3 linked regions of the Caenorhabditis elegans genome follow. The protein of the gene in region 3 interacts with the protein of the main gene of each other region in a pairwise test. Each region holds a gene or a part of one and is shown on either strand. Other genes may lie near its edges.

The links.
Region 1: the proteins of tsct-1 (region 3) and sptl-2 interact in a two-hybrid assay, tested with the Caenorhabditis elegans proteins (one large-scale study listed by BioGRID).
Region 2: the proteins of tsct-1 (region 3) and Y39C12A.9 interact in a two-hybrid assay, tested with the Caenorhabditis elegans proteins (one large-scale study listed by BioGRID).

What each region holds. Positions count from the first base shown.
Region 1 is NC_003283.11:8,016,124-8,019,881, reverse strand, and holds the start of sptl-2 (Serine palmitoyltransferase 2), read right to left. Parts: upstream 1,942-3,758; 5' UTR 1,936-1,941; coding exon 1,805-1,935; intron 724-1,804; exon of another isoform or gene 719-723; coding exon of another isoform or gene 672-718; intron 618-671; coding exon 452-617; intron 406-451; coding exon 274-405; intron 1-273. UniProt on the Caenorhabditis elegans protein: Component of the serine palmitoyltransferase (SPT) that catalyzes the first committed step in sphingolipid biosynthesis, which is the condensation of an acyl-CoA species and L-serine.
Region 2 is NC_003282.8:12,257,076-12,260,833, forward strand, and holds Y39C12A.9 (J domain-containing protein), read right to left. Parts: upstream 2,137-3,758; 5' UTR 2,118-2,136; coding exon 1,976-2,117; intron 1,661-1,975; coding exon 1,421-1,660; intron 962-1,420; coding exon 648-961; 3' UTR 450-647; downstream 1-449. Other genes in the region: sre-14 (Serpentine Receptor, class E (Epsilon)), read right to left, coding at 2,817-2,993, 3,050-3,128, 3,176-3,309, 3,361-3,480, 3,527-3,585, 3,678-3,758.
Region 3 is NC_003284.9:12,432,111-12,435,868, reverse strand, and holds the start of tsct-1 (Protein tsct-1), read right to left. Parts: upstream 1,773-3,758; 5' UTR 1,716-1,772; coding exon 1,698-1,715; intron 1-1,697.

The sequences.
Region 1 (3,758 bases), on a different chromosome or scaffold from region 3:
TCATGATAAACGGAAGCTTGAGTAGAAGCAATTTTTAAGCTGAATATTGAGAGCTTTCAATTAATAATTTGATGGAAAATGAAGCGTAAGACTACAAAATTAGATTTTAAAATACTTATTAAATACCTCGTTTTGAAAATTTTTGAAACTTTCCAACTTTCAAAACAACTGTTTTTTCTCAGATCTACCTTTTTCAAATCAACTTTCAAACACTTTGGATATAACACAAATATTTCAACCTACTGTATATGGTTAGTAAGATTACATTCTCACCTTCATCTTCGCATTTTCTTTGCTCGACAAGTCCTTCACAAACCCAAACCTGGTTACATATTCACGAATGTGTGCGAACACAAATAAAGCGAGCCATGCGATGTAAACTTTGATAGTCGTCAATCTATCAATCTGGAAATAATTACATGTTCAGAAAGCTATTGGGAAAAGACAAAACCTTTTCAAACTCATTTGGTGCTCGTTTTCCAACATCTCCATAGATATCATGGGATGATGTAGTCTCTTCGGATCCTTGATCTACTTTTACTTCCTCTTCTTCTTCATCATCATCATGTTCTTGGTTCCAAGCACATTCCAGAATATGGGTACGCTTTTTGAGCTCACTGAAATTTATTGCGGTGTTTATTTTATAAGATAAAAAATAAAAGCTAATCAACCTGCTGAGATACTCATCTAGACAGAGAGAATCGGTGCGTCGAGACATTGCAAATGCAGAGTAAATGATAGAATGTCAGTTCTTATCAAATAGAGAAATAATACAATGAACTCGTGGACTGCTATGGCGGAAAACGGACACGGAATCGGAAGATACATGAAACAGGCGGTGCACATCATGTGTGTACGTGCTCCGAGAACGGATACTCACAGAAATGGAGAGATCTCTCTCCGTCGACGGATTAAAACTAGCAAACTTTTCTATTAGTTTTGCATGCAATACTAATTTTCAATTGATTTTCAATTTATTCAATTTTCAATTGACATAGAGAAAAAACTAACTTTCGAACTTCTTTTTGCTTTGAAAATTTAATCAATCTTGGGCAAAAACTTGACTTGATAATGTTTAAAGCTTGAAAAAATACAACTTTTCCATGCTTTATTCGAGCCTTTGAATTCAGTAAGATTCTTTTGCCTATCCTAAAAATGACGACTTTATCAAAATTTACATGCATATGGCTGCTCTGACAACTAGTCAGTACGAAACTATTAGGGCATACTTTAATTCAATTTTTTTTTGAAAGTCTACAAGTTGTGTAAATCTTCAGCCCCATCAATTCCTTTATTTTTATTCTAGAATTAAATTTATCAGTCGATTTTACTACTGCTTTTCATCAATTGTCTACTCAAAAGCCAAATGATCAAAATGATTTTTGTTTGTTTGTGAGCAAATAAAAATTGTAATTGTTTGAGTAGATTTTTTAAAATATCATCATTTATCCATTTCAGTCAATAGATATTTGCAATAAAGTCAATAATTCTCTTGAAAAATTGTGATTGAGTGTGACAAATTTATGTTCAAAGCAACCTGATTGAAAAATAATTCCACTCTCGAAGTGTGTTGTTCGTTCTGAACTGCTTGAAAGTAAGCGTGAAAAAAGGCAGCTAGAAGGGCGCGAGGGGGCGAGTGAAGAGGCGCCCCCGAATGCCTTATTTTCCATATTTTTTCAATATTTCGAAATTTCAACGCCTCATATCATCAAACTATATTGTATCGGCATCATATAAGTTAACACATACTGATAAGGTGCCATGCACAACTGATTGCAAAAAAAAACGATAAGAATATACTCACTCATTCTCTTCTCGTTGTTTCGCAAGATCACTGATCAAAAGAGGTGATTTCTTTTCGGTGAATGTGAGTCGAATTGGTAGCTTGTGTAGAAATCTGAATGGCGAATTTCGTTTCGCTACCTCAGAAGTCATCTGAAAAGTTTTAAAGTTAGAATTCGAGTAGATTGTGTATTTTTTAGAAAGCAATACAAAATAGGAAAGTCCATTTTTTAAACAGTTTCTTCGCTAGTAATGGGAAAATATGTTTTTAAAAGTGATTTTGTTCAAAGTTTAGCATAAAATTCCTCAAATATATATTATTCATATTTCATGATTTGTGCTCTTCTCGTTCTATGTTCACCAAGAAGAATTGCACAATTCGTATCTTTGAGTCACTTTCTAAATTTCAAAAAGGGCGTAAAACTGTGACAGGTTCATCAAAATGTAAAAAATCATGCCAGCCAAAATCAACATTAACTTTTTTCCTGCAAACGTGAAATTATTTGTAACGTTCAACAAATTAACGGAAGACTGAATATGTACAAGTATTGCGCGAATCCTAAAACATTAGTTCTAATTCCAGAAAACATGTAGTAGGCACGTAGGCAGGTAAGCGGAAGGCATGGACTTCTGGAGAAGGAGATCCCTATACAGCGAATTTTGCCACGAGCAACATCATTAGAAAAAAAAACAAAAAATGTTTAAGTTGCTTTCAAATGAAATCACGAAAACGGAAAATTCAAAAGAATGAATTTTTGAGAACGCAACTCATGAATACATAAATCCGTGCAGACTACACTTAAACTTTTGCCATTGAGCTAACGCTTCTTTATAATTTCAAAATTTAATACTTCAAAACTTTAAATATTCAATTTTAAAATGACTCATCTAAAAGAAGTGCAAAACGAAGAAACTGCCCAAGAATGACAGCGGATGGTGATAACACAGGGTACGCACTATAGGTACACCCGTGTTGGTAAATAATGTTCAAGAAGAACGAAATTGAGTTGACATAAGGCAAAAAAAGAGCAAGAAAACTTGTTTGGCAGTTTGAGATCTCAACAATTAGTTAAACAAACAATCTTTTGGGATAGCCAGGTTGTGGAAACTTCTAGAATCAAAAACATGTCAAAGTCACAACAAAGACATTTAAAATTTAGAAACTCTGAGCAAGGAGCAAGGCTGTTGTTGCTCTTTAAAAAACTGTTCACTTCAAAGTTTAAGTAACTTCTCATTGACGCGAATCAATTTTGGCGTATTTTACCGACCAAGCCCTATCTAGAAATTTAAATTTGCTTCACAATTATTTAACTATAGATGTTTCATTTGACCTACAGAAAGAGTATGTAGTTGAAATCTTCTCAGGAATAATTATTGTGTGACTAACTTCGGACTGTCATATGTGCCAGAATTTGATAGATTCCTTACAAAAAACATAAAGCACTGTACATTTGAAAGCGTAGTCAACACTTGAAAATGCGCAAAAAGCCATAAATGAGCACAAAAACATAAAATGGCACAAAACGATGGGTGGTCACTTTAAACAAGAGAGAAGCCAGAAAGAGATACGGAAAAGGATGAGGTCGTCTGCCGTCATGGAGATTCATTCTCAACAAGAGTTTCGAAATTATTTTTAAACTATGAGTTTATTTGTAGTCAGAGCACAAGTGTGCCTTTTTTGTGACAGATTACGAGCCGAGCTTGGGTAACAAAATATGACTTGCCATATGCTACAGGGAAAGAATTTTAACATTTTACTGAAGTACTGAACTTCTCAGTGAAACATCATATAGAATATCCGTTTTTAAAGAATATTTCACTACATACAAAAAGTTAGGAGCATTCAGGCAACTTAAGTTAGAAAAAAAACTACAGGAATCAGATTATCTTGTCTTTGTTTGTCCTGCATCATATTACTACGAATTGAAAACTTGAACTTGAAGACTATTAGCATCTCGGTTAATTTTACAGATAGT
Region 2 (3,758 bases), on a different chromosome or scaffold from region 3:
AAGATCTAGATGTGGAATTCGTAGTAAAAGAGATTCCGTAGTAAAAGATCCAATTGTAGTAAAAGATCTAGATGTGGAATTCGTAGTAAAAGAGATTCCGTAGTAAAAGATCCAATTGTAGTAAAAGATCTAGATGTGGAATTCGTAGTAAAAGAGATTCCGTAGTAAAAGAGATCCTGTAGTAAAAGAGATGCGTAGTAAAAGATCAAGTAGTAAAACAGTATTTGCCCAAAATTGTTTATTCCACGTTCCAATGGTGTTCGATGCATCACTCTTACTCGTCCAAAGTTGCTCCGACAAAGTTTTGAAAATGTTCAATTTTTCTAGGTTTTCAGTCGAACTGCTCCAAAATGTTTTTGGAAAATTTCCAATGATGTAAAATTTTTCTATGAGATCATTCGAACTGATCCAAAGTTGTTCATTCAGAGTATTGAAAATATTCAATTTACTCATTAATTAAAAAATTTTATTTTGCCAAAAATTCACTAAAACGCAAAACGTAATGTTACAATTACAGAGATGAAGCGAATAATGAGTTTTATAGATATTTATATAATATATATTTAACAAAAATTATTCATGAAAACTCGAAAAATGAGGTGACAAAAAAAGTTGAAGAAAAAAATATTTTGAGCCATTTACAACTGTTACAAAGTTACTAAGTCGTAATCAAAGATTCTGGCATTTCTCAAAAATATACTTGGGCTGCTCAAAAATTGATTCGTCCGAGTGAAAGATGAATCAAAAATGTTTGAGATAGCTTCCTTTGCTGGAGGAACCACAGTGTCTTCGAAAAACCTCCAGAAAAACTTCAGAATTGAAACTGCCGTCCTTCCCATTCTTTTAAAAAAGAATACAGTTACAGTCCACCGAATCAGAAACATAGCAGCACGTTTGAGCAATCGGCCATTATCATCATCGTCGCCCTCCGATGGAGTGTCGGTTATTCGTTGAGGTGCATCTTAATATATAAATGTATATTTAAAAGAGATCTATCACTTGTGGGTTTCATAACTTAATTTGATGTGCTCATTTATATCAATGAGAATATAAAAAGAAGTACAAAATGTTTTTTTGAAAAGTCTTGTATCGATTGTTTTCTTCGAATAATGCTAACGAGTTTAAAACTAACTAAATGTCGATTTTTGTCTAGAAGTTTATCGAAAATTCGGGTAACACGAAATCATCGACGTTTTTTTGTTGTGAATTAGTAAGGAATCCTCGTAAAACGAATGAAAAATAGAATATTATTGAAATTTTAAAAATAATGTAAAGATTTTGGAACAAAAAAGTAGATGTGCAACAATTATGGAGACTGCAATACTGATTTTCAAAGGTGTCTTTGGGCAATCGTAACGGATACGCAATACTAATAGATAATAAACGGTATTTTCTCACGGTTATCAAAATATGAACGTACTTGAAGGTTCGCCATAACGTTGTCTCAATTGATGATCTAGTGCTAGTTGGAGTTTATCAAGGTCACACCCGGTATAATCGTAAGGACTTCCAGTATTTGGATGATAATATGTTTGTCTCATATTATCCAAACTCCTATTTGAATGAGAAATGCGTGAGTTCCTTGATATTCCATCAAGCTGTCTATCATATTCTTCGCGTAGGCCTGGATCGGAAAGCGTAGAATATGCCAGACCGAAGGCTGAAATTATTGTTTTTGATTAAACGTGGACAGTCGTGACAGGTGGGATAATTTTCAAAAAAGTCACAATTTATAATTTTCAACAATGTAGTCAGTTTTCCCTGTGTTCCATGCGAAAATTAAATCCCTTGTCACTATCATAAAATAAAAATAAAATAATTTTGAACATTTTTTGAATACCCGTTTCAGATTTTGCGGTTTTGTAGCACAATTTATCAATTCAATCAGAAAAAAAATTCTTCATCAAAATATTCGTCAACCTCCTAGTCTTCATTAAGTTCTCAGTAAATTTCAAGTGCAATTTTTGTCACGTACCTAAATCCTTTTTAAACACGTATGGATCATTCGGGTCTACTTTTGCCATTGAATTCATATATGCATTATAAATTTCAAAGTGAGTTGCATTCTTGCGAACTTTCAGAACTTGGTAATGATTCTGATTTTCAAATGAAGACATTTCAATTGTCGACCTGAAAAATTCAGTTTACTTAAAAAACAAATTAATTGAAATACTTAACGATTTGGTAATTTGTAAAAAGAAAAAGGAAGTTGTTTTTTTATTAACTGGGATATAATATAATTTCTATTTCTTTGATTTCGTATGTTTTTCTTGAAATTCTTAAAAATTGTCAAAGAATTTTGTGAAGGTTCCGGTGAAAAGGGGCACGTTTGTTTCAAGGTCCTGTTATGTTAAAAAATCGATACAAATCAATTTTTATACTAAACTATCCAAACAATATTCCGATTAAGCTTCGTAGTTATTGTTACATGTAAGTTCTACTAGCTTTGTACTCCAATTTTCTTTTTGAAAGTTTCAAAAGTAACAAATTCGGGTGATATCGTAAAATGAGATTATGAGCATCGGAAAAGTCGAATAGACGACAGAAAAGATGTATTGCATAGTTGGCCGCATTTTTCTCTGCAGTCTCTCGGTGCGATATTTAACACGCAAAGGGCCGTACCACGACACCCGCCGAATTGAGGTAAATGCGGTCACGGCCACCAAGGGGATTTTAAATTCAGAGTTTTTCTTCGAGAGACTCTGAATACTGACAACATTTGATTAAAAACTTTTTATTGTAATTAATGTACCCGAAAGATAACAGGATATGATTGAAGAATTAAATGTTATATCACAAACTCAAGATATAAATAATTATAAGCAAGGTTTCTGCATACTCCAGGATGAATTCAATTGTTCGAAATAAGTATCCGACTGTCTTTTGATATCAATATTCATCTCAACTCCGAAAGTGTTTCGCAAATTGAGATTACTCGCTTCGGGTCCGATTTCTGTCACGTCGATTCGTTTTGTTTTGAAACGGGCGGTTATCTGGTGAGTTTAATTTGGCCTCGGATTCTGGGACTGTAGTTTTCCTATATACATACCTTCGACAAAACTCTCTTGAACTCTTGATGCCACCGAATATTGAACTTGTATATAATATAAGGTGTAAGTATTGTGTATCTGAAATTTATCTTTTAAGGTCATTTGAAAATAGTACTAAAACTTACACGCTGAAGCTCAACTCGAACAAAGTGATGCAGAGATTCCGGTAGAACCAATCTATTTCAAAACTGGCCACTAACATCAGAACCGGACAGAGAATTGTGAAGAAGAAGATACTTGAAGCAAACCGAATGAAAAACTGGAGAAATTGGATTTTATGAATTGTGGTTTGTTTTCTTACAAAACTTACAAAGTAAAAATGAATATTATCAGAAATCTGATACCTTTCAGCCAAACAGTATTTCCCGTTGTAACTTTGTTGGCAGGCTCGATAGTATTTCTGATTTATTTTGTAGTTCAACATGTTACCCTGGAAAAATTTAAATAACTATGTTAGGGATTATTTCCGAACATACCAAGCAACTAGTCGCACTCAAAACAAGTAGAAAAACTGTGTGGTAGAAACTTGTTGCAACTGAAATTTGAATTTTTTGGTTTTGAATTTTATTTTCTTTGAAAGTTAATTTTAACACAAAGCTGTTTTTTTTCCAAATATTATCTGCTCACCAATTGCCAGTGAATATGCCAAAAGACCTCCTGCTGTGTACAACCCGATTCCAATTATAATCCCAATCCACCATCTATTTT
Region 3 (3,758 bases):
AAGAAAAATATATAATTCTTCTGAATTATTATTTCAGAGAGAAAGATTTTGAGGGAGTTTTAAACAAGACACTGCGATTTCTCGTTTTCAGTCACTAGAAATGTCACAGTTTATAAGAGCAAAATAGAAAACGAATGAAAAATTGAATGCTGTACATTTCTCTTGCTCTATACTGGCTGCTACCCCACTTTTTCAATCACACTGTACGCTTCTCTGTGTGCCCAGACAAAACCATTGAAAACTACTGCTCTGCATAGCCCGCAAAGCAGGAAAGCTATTTTTCAATCGCAAATAAAACGAAAAAAGCGCATGGGAGCGCGAGATAGAATGCAATCTTTTTTTGAAACTTCGATTCTGTAGTAATTATGCAAGTTGTGGTTGCAACAATGGTGCTCACAAAAGAGTTGCGAAGAGTAAATATGAAAAGGGCACATGAATAGCGATCAAATCAAATGACGAACTGATAAAAAAGATAATATGTAGTTGTCATGTGTACTCTTGAGCGAACGTGCAAAAGAAAATTGGACACATAACATTCTGAACTGGAGTTTGAAGGCGGAGAAGATCCAAAAAGGAAATTGTTTTTGAACAAATTAGCTTTGAAGCTTTCTCTATTATTCTTGCATGCAAGACTAATTTTCAATTGGTCCGTAGGGATGTAAGACTAGGCCTGTGGAGTGGGTCGCCCCATTTTTTGGGTCGGTCGGGTCGGGGTAGGAGTCGGAAATTCTAATATCATGAGAGTGGTTTTGTATCATTTGGCTCTATATGCTCTCCTCATTTTTCAAACAGAAGTTCAATTTAAATGTTACGCTTGGAAAAGAGCAGCACACCACACTTTTGGCTCATTGTTGATTGGTGTTTTTCATCGCGTAAAAACTGGAAATTTAATTGAATACTTTTGGCACTCGTATTCGGAGGGTCTCATTGACCTTTAACTTTGTTTTCTGCAAAAGTCTCACAATGTAGGTGTTTCAAATTACGTTGCATTTGATTTTTTAACGACATGAAAAAATTTCAAGATTATACTTGAAATTTATGTGTTCAAAAATGTTACTAGAATAAATTATTTTCAATTTTTGAAAGAAAATGTTCCACATTCTTTATACATATCTTTGTACATATGGCAACTAAACGTTTGCGAAATTCCTAACATTGAACAAGACAAATTATTTTCAAATTAAATTGATATGCTGTTGAAGGAAAAATACGTAAAAATAAGAAATTCTAATTTTAGTTATTGTTTATTCTTATATTTTATGAACGCAAAAAGCACTTGATTAAACAACAGAAATCAAAAAGTTAAAAAGAAAAGTTGCTGTTCAGACTGACGGGGGTACGGATAATTCATGCAAATCGGTGTCATTCTAAAAATCGATATGTGGAATTGAATCAGAAAGGAAATCGTCGAAAAAATTACAGTTGACTCACGATTTCTGTATTTTAGAGTTTGTTTCGCGGCAGTCACGCGTTTTACATTGGCGACGGTGAAGAAGCAAAACGAAAGGACAACAAAATTGCGTAGAGTTTCTCTTTCTCAACCAACCATCAAAAACGTTTAGATTTGGAAAACGTGCTGGAGATAAACAAAACACATACATAAACACGAGGTCATTGACAACGAAGAGCCGGTTGTTTGATCAGGCAGATCATAAGGAGACAAGGTCATGTGGTTTATCTTAAAAATGAACACTTACTGCGGCAAAGATGAACATTCTCAGTGACAGGATCCCTTGCTGCGGTCTCTTTTAGCTGTAACTACCCTGAAACTTTAAGTTATTTGTATCTTGTAAAACCAACGTTATTGACAATAGAGAGCAAAAAAAGTTGTGAAGATATAAACGCAAACCATAAGAAGGAGTAACGGTTCTGCTTTTTATTTGAGTAAAAAATTTTAAAAATTGAGGTTCCGCAGGAATCTTAAATTTAGGCCACTTGTCCGCGGAGCGACTGGAAAAAATATTATTATTTAATCACAACCTCATTTTGAAATTTTGTGTCGTTTATGAAAAATTCGCTAGTTTAATCTCAATTTCTACAACAGGGTAAAGTTGATAAAATTTTAGAATTTTGCTATATTGAGTATTTTTTTGTTAAACTTTTCAACCGTTAAAAAGAAAAAGAAAAAACACTTTTGTGAAATTTTCAAGAAGTTTCATCCTGAGAACAAATTTGCAAAGTTGAATGCAAAATTTGATTTTTTTTATCACTTTTAAACTTGCGTTGAACTTACGTGAAACTATCTTATATTAATGATTGATTGGTAAATTCACAAAAATTATGCCCCATGTTACAGATCTTGTGAAAATTAATTAATGTGTGAACACATATTTTTAAAGTTCAAGAAGTTTTTTAATTGAAATTGTGAACAAAACCACGTGATGCATTTGCGGACGCACAGAGAAATTTGATATTCACTAGGAACATTAAGTATGTTTATTTTTTCGTTTTTTTGTATGTTTTAAATATTCGCAACAAAAATTTCAATTGTTTTAATTATAACATTTATGATATTTGCAAAGTATTTCATCTGATTAAGAGTAAAAATAATTTCTGTTATTTTCAAATATCATAAATAAGAAAATAAATGAGAATGGCAAGATGAAATATGAGGAAAAACGGGTTTGTTGTAACATAAATAATGCTCATCGCACATGTGCAAATACATAAAATACGTAAACGATGAGATAAAAAAATTGAATTTCTCGAACGTCTCTATGTGTATCTAATCCGATAAACACTAGTTTTAGGGAGTTATGAGGATGTTTTTCGTCTTGTTTTCTATTTTATTTTTAAAGATTTTATTTTTAATTATAATTTTAAAGAATGTCAAAGTGTAGAAAAACCCAATCAACAAATGAGCAGAAAAATTAAATGAGCACTCAATGTCCTTTTTTGGAAGAGAGCAGATGGTAGTTAAAAGCTAAAAAGACGCGGAACCCTTTTTTTCAAATGTGTTCCTCTGTGACGGCTGGCTTTTATGGGTTGAATGAAAGAATGATGGTGTTAGGGTACCACCCGACACAAAACAAAACAGAGCTGTTCTGCAAGATCAAAATGACGTTTTTTCAAAAATATATGCCAATTTTCTTAAAACTAAAAAAGAACAAAACTGATACAAGAATTGAAATTCCCAATGGGGTAAAATTCGAATGGGATGAGAAGAGGAAATGGGCGGAGGAAGGGGGCAAAAACGTTAATGAAATTTTGTTTCAAAGTTTTGTTTGCCCAAGGCTATTTTCTACTTTTTACATTACTTCAAAAATTGTAATTTCAAAACAAAAGTGGACTGGAAAAAATTAAAAAATAAAAATATTCCAATGGCTGCGCTGCAAACAAACAATTGGATGCTTCCAGATTTTCCAAATTTGCTGAAAACAGAATCGACAGGTATTTTGGGCAAATCTTCCTGCACAAATTGGGAATTTAACCTTGGAGCTCAGAGAAAAATGATCTACATGCAAATGTATCTATATATATTATATATATATATATATATATCTAGAGAATTTATCAAAGTATTAATTTGGCAATGTTGAAAATAGGTAGAGAAAAATCACAATCCCAACTATTTTTTTTCGAATATGGGTGTAATTGTTCTTGGTATATATTGAATAACGTTTTACACTTTACAAGTACTATCTCTTACATAAAAAATAAAGGGGAAAATGATTAAGCTACATCAAAAGTTCGAGAAAAAGTAACTAGTGTAACAAGTACGGGCTGTGCAACAAATTATTCGAAAAAAACTGCATTCA